2 linked regions of the Callithrix jacchus genome follow. The protein of the gene in region 1 purifies or fractionates together with the protein of each later gene. This does not show direct contact. Links are inferred from orthologs where the notes say so. Each region holds a gene or a part of one and is shown in the gene's direction. Other genes may lie near its edges.

Evidence for each region. The genes of interacting proteins can lie anywhere in the genome.
Region 2: the proteins of HADHA (region 1) and GPC1 purify together in Homo sapiens (co-immunoprecipitation; 3 studies listed by BioGRID and IntAct, with this or other methods). This does not show direct contact. The link is inferred for Callithrix jacchus from reciprocal best matches to the Homo sapiens genes HADHA and GPC1.

What each region holds. Positions count from the first base shown.
Region 1 is NC_133515.1:89,079,286-89,082,796, reverse strand, and holds part of HADHA (trifunctional enzyme subunit alpha, mitochondrial), read left to right. Parts: intron 1-804; coding exon 805-976; intron 977-3,511. UniProt on the Homo sapiens protein: Mitochondrial trifunctional enzyme catalyzes the last three of the four reactions of the mitochondrial beta-oxidation pathway.
Region 2 is NC_133507.1:161,719,730-161,723,872, forward strand, and holds the start of GPC1 (glypican-1), read left to right. Parts: upstream 1-1,340; 5' UTR 1,341-1,566; coding exon 1,567-1,732; intron 1,733-4,143. UniProt on the Homo sapiens protein: Cell surface proteoglycan that bears heparan sulfate. Binds, via the heparan sulfate side chains, alpha-4 (V) collagen and participates in Schwann cell myelination.

The sequences.
Region 1 (3,511 bases):
ATTCCTTTGTATTTATCTTGTGGCCCTAGTTTTTCTTTTGGTTAGGGAAATTAGTGAATGGGGTTTAGCTTCATTCTTCATTTAGAGGAAAACTCTAGTGGTTTATTCTGAAAGTATGGTCAGATGGAATCTAAGAAAGCCTGTTTCCCTTTGCAATGAAAAATAATCAGTTAAATGTCTAAAAAGCAGGAATCCTTTTCCACTCCCTATGGGAAAAAAGAAACCTTGAGTTAATATTTTATGTAATCAGTGCAATGTGTTACTAGCTAATGAGTGGGAAGTAGATAGAGAATATAGGAAATAATGCTTGGTTTCTGCACTTTAGAAGATTATAATAATACAGAATAACATAAAATTATATATTTGCTATAAACAAATATTCAACCATGTGGTCTCAAACACACACTTGAGCTGCTTCCCCTGTCATAGGTAGAGAATTATCAGAGCTGCTCTTTTGTTTTGCCATTCTAGTATTCATGTTGTTTACTCTTCTCAGCAAATTGAACTGCTTTAAGAGTGATTTAGTTTATGTAAGTTGGGCATTTGGAGGCATTCTGTAGTAGAGAGAGTATGCACTTGGGGGTTAACATGTCTTCGAATTCTAGCACCCTCCCTTATCAAGCTATTTGACCAGAGGTCCCTCTGAGACTCTTTAAACAACTTCGAAATCTCTCTCTTAATAAGGGCAATAGAACAACTACTTCACAGAGTTGGTGAAGAACACATGCGTACTGTGGCCTATGGACACTCAATAAATGTTAGTTTTCTTTTCTTCCCATCTAACTAGGAATGTGTTTCTTCTAGATTGAATGATAAAGTGAAGAAGAAAGCTCTAACATCATTTGAAAGGGATTCCATCTTCAGCAACTTGACTGGGCAGCTTGATTACCAAGGTTTTGAAAAGGCCGACATGGTTATTGAAGCTGTGTTTGAGGACCTTAGTCTTAAGCACAGAGTGCTAAAGGAAGTAGAAGCGGTAAGCAAGGGGCTGCTGTACTTGAATTCTAGTGTAGTGAGCAAAAAACACTGAGGTGGGTTTTTTTAAAAGGAGCTATAGGAAACTCATGGCTGCTTTTATAAAAAGGACTATTTGTTATCAAAGTTCAGTTTTTATGTGTGCTCATGCACACTGCATATGTTATAAAGGTCAAGTCTAAATCCTAAAGGAAGAAAATTAAGTAGTTTATTACCATAAGCACAGGATTCGTTCACCTTATTCATGTAGGAGCTCTGCCACCCAAACATATAGATGACCTCATGGAGGACAGCCAGATGCTTTAAGATTTTTTTGGTTAGCTGCAAGCCAAAGCCAAACCTCTTCAGGTCTAAGGCTGCAAAGGAAATAGGGAGGACAGTTCCTCCAGATGCTTGTTCTGTGGAAATGCTGCTTTGGCCCAGCTCCCAAATGTTCTCCATAACCACTTCTTGAAATGGGCTGACATGAACAAAACAAGTACTTAAAGTGGGTAGTAGGAAGAGTGAGCCCCAAGAAGTAGTAATGGCAGTAATTCAGGCATGAGGTAGGACCGACACCTAAACTAGTCTACAGTTGGATAAGCAGAATGTGGGTTACTAAAAGATGAACATGAAATGATTCTGACTTGGCAACATGCTGGGTGTAATGAGCAGTGAGCTGCGAGGAAGTAGGTGGTACTCTTAAGATGCCCTCCATGTGAGGACGGTCCATACTCCACTAAGACTGAATTTAAGGCCAGGCATGATGGCTCATGCCTGTAATCCTAGCACTTGGGAGGCCAAGGCAAGAGGATCACTTGAGACCAGGAGTTTAAGACCAGACCAGGAAACAGAGCAAGACCCTGTCTCAAAAAAAAAAAAAGTCTGAACCTAAGGGGGTTTAAAAATTAAGGATGAGCAGCTCTGTTGGGGACATGTTCCCCTTGTGAGACACACATTCCAAAATCTTTTCCTTAGGCAAGTGAGGGAGAAAGTTCAGATGAGGTTGGTGGATCTGTGTTCCATCTGTGCTAGATGGCATTTCAACTTAGACATCTAGACGATGTTCCTGGGGCTTTGAGGGCACTGCAATGGTAGGTAGATTCTAGAAGCATCAAAAGCAGACACAGCCACGGTGGAGAGAAGAGCACTTACTGACTAGGACATGGTATTTGCTTTTGGGAAATCTGGCTTTGGGAGGATCAGAATAGAGAAAAGTTGTCTGGACATAGTGGCTCACGCTTGTAATCCCAACATTTTGGGAGCCGGAGGCGGAAGGATCACCTGAGGTCAGGAGTTTGGGACTACCCTAACCAACATGGTGAAACCCTGTGTCTACTAAAAATAAAAAAACTAGCTGGGCTAATTTTTGGTGGTGCACACCTGTAGTCCTAGCTACTTGGGAGGCTGAGGCAGGAGAATGTCTTCAACCAGGGAGGAGGAGGAGGCTGCAGTGAGCTGAGATTGTGCCACTGCAGTCCAGCCTGGGCAACAGAGTGAGACTCCGACTCAAAAAAAAAAGAAAAGTTTTTTTAGTTTTAGCTGTTGGGATGCCAGTGGTCAAAGAAAAAAGAAGAGGGATCAAATCAAGAGAAGGGTAGACTAGAAACCAATCAAGGTAATAGTCACAACTGAAACATAAAGTGAAGTTAAAGGCAGCAAGGAGATGATACAGAACCCAGCAGACAAGGAGAAGGAAGAGACAAGGGTGGTGGCGCACGCCTATATAATCCCAGCTACTCAGGAGGCTGAGGCAGGAGAATCGCGGAGGTTGCAGTGAGCTGAGATCACACCACTGCACTCCAGCCTGGGCGACAAAGCAAGACTCCATCTCAAAAAATAAACAAACAAACAAACAATTATCTTCTCTTATTGCCCATAGAACTAACAAAACCCATTTCTTTGAACATTCTTCCACAGACATTAACTCTAGACCACTCCATTTCAGTTATCCTCTCTAGTATCTTCGTATGTCTTGGTGTTCTTCTGCTGTGTTTACAACTGTCTTTTCATAATTCTGCAATCCTGGCAGGGCTCTGCAGAGACAGCTGGTGCTTAAGTCCATTAATTTCAGGGCTGGGGTCACTCCTGGGACTGCATTCCACTGGAAGCTGGCTTGGGCACTTCACTGCTTCCGCCACATCTCTCCTGGCCTGTCCTCACTTAGCATCTTACCAGAACTTTGCATTTTGCTGCGTGCTTCTGAGAGAACAAAAGCAGAAGCTACTGAGCTTCCTAAGTTTATTGTTAGGAAGAAAAAAAGATAAATAATTTAAAAGATAAAAAAAGAAGACTGAGCTTCACAGAGCTAGGTAGACCTGGAACTGGCAAGGTAACTTCTGCCGCATTCTGTTGATAAAAACAAGTCACAGGACCAGCTCAGATTCAGGGAGAAGGGAAACAGATTCTACTTCTAGCTGGGAGAAGAGATGTATATGTCCAGGGAAGGGCAGAATTTTTGCCCGCCAGCTTTAGAGACATTAATTTGCTCTTCAGAAAGGATTTTACCACCAGCATTAGACACAATACTACTAAGAAAGTAACCTGACACTGTGTA
Region 2 (4,143 bases), on another chromosome or scaffold:
CAGGGGACCCACCATCCTGCTCCAGACCCCATAATGGCTGAGAGCCCCAGGCACGGGGACGGGGAGGCTGGCCCCACCCCCACCACGGCAGCTGCAGCTTCCAGGGGTTGCCACAAGCGGCGAAATCCAGGCACCCCTGCTGCACATGGGGGTCATCTAGAGGTTCTCAGTCAAGGCTGCCGACCTCTATGCCTGCCCCCAATTCTGCAGGTCAGGCATCTGACTTCACCACCAGGCCTTACCACGAGGAGAGCAGGGGACCGGGTGGGGGCTCTGGGAGCCAAGTAAGGAGCCAAGCGAAGCCCTCCAGACCTCAACACAGCCGTCCTCGCCGCTCCCCGCAGCCCCGTCCAGGCCAGCTCCCCCTGTGCGGCTAAAGCCACGCGCCCTCCCACCGTACAAGGTGCCGGCAGTCCTTCCTCAAAGAGGCAAGCGCTCCGGGTCACTGCACCCTCCTCCCCCATGACCTAGCTTTCTCCGGTTCGGACCCTATTCCTTCTCCAGAGGTCACCTGGCCCCACCCAGAAGCCCAAACCAGTAGACCAGCCCTGCCCTATCACTGCGGCTTCTCCAGCATCCAAAGAACGTGGAGGGTCACCCCCCAAAACAGCTGCCAACGTCCAACAACTAAGTCATCTGTTGCCACTCCCTGGGACTGGGAGACGTGAGGTCAGTTTCTTGGCCAGTTTCCTGCGTCTAGCCCCCACACCACAAACACCCCAGGTGTGAGACGGAGCCCCGCGCGAGACCGCGGGAAGGGGGCCGCTACGGGGTGCCGGCAAGGAGAGGGGCGCGACCGGCGGGCGGAGGGGACGGAGGCGCCGGGAGGGCGATCGCGAGGCGCGCAGCCGGGGTGCAGGAAGCCGGAGCGCGCGGGAGGGAGCGGGGAGCCGGGAGCGGGATGCCGAATTCGGCGGGGGGCGGGGAAGCCCCTGATTGGGGCGCGGGAGGCGTGATGTCACGTCCGGCGGGGGAAGCCCTGCCTCGCGCACCCTCCGCCCCCGTCCCCGCCCCCACAGGTGGTGCCACCGCCCCGGGCGCTGGGCGTGGGGGCCTGCCCTACGGGACCCCGGCCACCGCCCCGCGCTCTCAGGCTGGCTCTGCCGCCTCCCTCCGGGGATCGATAGAGTCGCGCGGCCGGCGCGGCCCTCAGGGCCCCCGAGAGCCGAAGGAGCGCCCGGTGCGCCCCGGCTCGCGCCCCCGCGCCGCGCCCCGCCCCGCCCTGCCGGGTGCTCCCAGTCCTTCCCCCGCCCCTGCGCTCCCGCCCCGCCCCTCTCCCGCGGCCGCCGAGGGGCCGGGCCGGCGGCGGGGGAGGTGCCGAGCCGGGACTGCGCTCGCCCGCTGCGCTCTGGGCTGCCCGAACGAGCAGCCGGACCTCGCGCCCCGCGCGCTCCGCGCCACCGCCGGCTTTTGTTGTCTCCGCCTCCTCGGCCGCCGCCGCCTCTGGACCGCGAGCCGCGCGCACCGGGACCTTGGCTCTGCCCTTCGCGGACGGGAGCTGCGCAGGGCCCGGCCGGGATCCGGGAGAGGCGCGGGTGGGGGCCCGGGGGCGCCGCCGGCCCCGCCATGGAGCTCCGGGCCCGAGGCTGGTGGCTGCTGTGCGCGGCCGCCGCGGTGGTCGCCTGCGCCCGCGGGGACCCGGCCAGCAAGAGCCGGAGCTGCAGCGAGGTCCGCCAGATCTACGGAGCCAAGGGCTTCAGCCTGAGCGACGTGCCCCAGGCTGAGATCTCGGGTGAGTGAGGGCGCGGCGCGGGGACCTCGGGCTTCGGGCTCCGGACCTCCGCGCGCCCGGGATCTCCTCTGCGCCCCCTGCTCTCCTCCCTGCTCTTCCCGACACGGTTTCTCGCCCCCGGCGCGGGATCCTGCCGCCTGCGCCCCGCCGCCCGGCTCCGAGTGGCCCCCTGCGCCGCGGCTCCTCCGCAGACCCACGGCCTTGCCTCCGAGCCCCGCGCCGCCTCCCTCTCCTGGGTCCCCTCCGCTCCGCTCGGGCGTCCCCCGCCCCTCCCCGCCCCCCGCACGCCGGCCCCTTCCCCGCCGAGCTGTTCTCGCCGGGCTGCGGGCCGGGCGGTCCCCGGCTGGCTCTGGGCGCTCCTCCCGGCCCACGGCTGGAGCTGGGCGTCTTCTGCCCGCCGCTCGGCCCAGCGCGCCTGCCGGCCGGGAGTCCCAGCCCCCGGGTCGGCTTCGGGGCAGCGCGGACCCCCTCTCCTCTGTTCAGCCCTCTCTGGGAGGCGTCTCGGTCCCGCTCGGGGATTCTTGTAGGGTCCCCGGCGCAGCCTGGGTGGGTTTTATAAGCGGACCCCCTGCAGCGGGGAGGGGGCCTTGCGGAGGGGCGGGGAGGGAGCTGGGCGCTTCTCTGCGGGCGGAACGCCGCCGCCTCGAAGGGATTCCTACCCAAGAACTTGTGCGCGCTGGCCCCCGCCTGGCACTTGGGCGGCCTCGCGCTGCGAGTCCAGCTGCAGGTGGTCGGCGCGTTGGATCCCGCCCAGGGGCCGTGTCATTTCTTTGTAAGAACAGCGGTCCTCCTGGCGCCCCCTAAGCCCTGCAGCCGCCTGCGGCTCTGCCTCTTCCATTCCTGTGGCCCGGAGGAGCTCTGGGGACCGACGTGTACCGGTGGCTCAGTGTTCTGAAGACCTCTTGGAGCCCAAGCTTCACTCTCCCACGTGTGGGGACCACCCTGGACCTGTACCCGGTGTCAGGGACCTAGTGGGCAAGAACAGAACAGATTTCTTTTCGGGGGGGGGGGGGCGGGCTCCTCTGAAACCAGGGAGCGGGAGTGTGGGTGGAGGCCAGTCAGATGGGGACTCAGCGCAGGAATGCCCACGGCCCGGGGATTCTGAGCAAGAAGTAACAGTGCGTCCCGGTGAGGGGGGTCTGTGACCATACCTTGCTGCGGGGGATAGGAGAGGGTAGGAAGGAGGCAGCCGGGCTCTGGACCCCTGCCCCTCCGGGAGGAACAGAACCCACAGACAGCCCCTTGGCGGATCTTCTGATGTCCCCAGGCTGAGGTTCTTGTGAGAGAGGACCCCCTGCCCCCCCCCAGGAGGAACAGAACCAGCAGACAGCCCCTTGGTGGATGTCCCCATGCCCTTTTCCCAGCCTGAGGCTCTGCAAGGACCCCTCCAAAGCCCCAGGACAGGCCTTCCTGTGCCCCTCTCTGCAGAGGCAACCCTTTTATTTCCAGGCTGCCTCTCTCACCCCACTGGGCTCTGTCCCAGGTGGGGGGCACCCTGGGTGCCAGACAGCACAAAGCCCTGAGCTCTGTTGGGTTCGTGCCCTGCCCCCCCCTTCCCACACACAAAGAGGCATCCTTGGCCTTCCCAGTGAATCCCTCCCTGGCCACCAGGGTGGCAGGGTGGCTGAGCAGCTGCCCCTCCCAACCGAGAGTCTTGAACCCGGCCCTTTTTAGCACCTCCATGTCCTCTGGGCAGTCGCGTCCTTAGGAGCTAACCTATCCTTGCATCCAGAGGCCACTACTCCCAGTTAGAGAGACAGAGTGGCACAGTTTGGCCATCTTCCAAGGGTGAGAAGAGAGGGCAGGACAAGATGGAGAAGTTGACGTGGGCCGGGCCACAGAGCACAGATCTTTCGGCCCTTGGGTTGGGGAATGCAGTGGCTGAGGGACCCGGGACAGGCAGACTGTGTTGGTTTCTCTGTGTCTGGTGGCGGGGGTGCTGTCCACCCCTCATAGGAAGTTTGAACACCCTGCAGCTGTCTAAGCATGATGCTAGCCAGTGGCCATTGCCTGCTGCCAGGGTCCGGGGCGCCAGCCTCCTGCAGGCCTGCACTGCTCAGGGTTAGCACGTCTCCAGCCGGTGCTCTTCCGCCTGGAGCTGCTTTCCCTGGACCCCCTATGGCTGCAGAGGTGGGGAGTCACCTTCGGGGCCCAGGGTACAGAAGAGAACATGGGAGCCACGTGGGCCGAGGGAAACAGGGTGATCCTCTCCAGCCGCAGCAGTCCTGGGGCTGCCAAGCCCAGTGTCCCCTCCTGCTCTGTTGCTGCGCCTGAGCTCCGAGGGCTGGGCGCCCTCTGGTGGCCCCTGGGTGGCAGATCCTCCCAGGAGCCCTGGACCCTCAGTGGCCTGGTGGGCACCATACTCAGTCCTCTCTCTCCTGCATCTGGACTTCTCCAGGGGGACCTCCTCA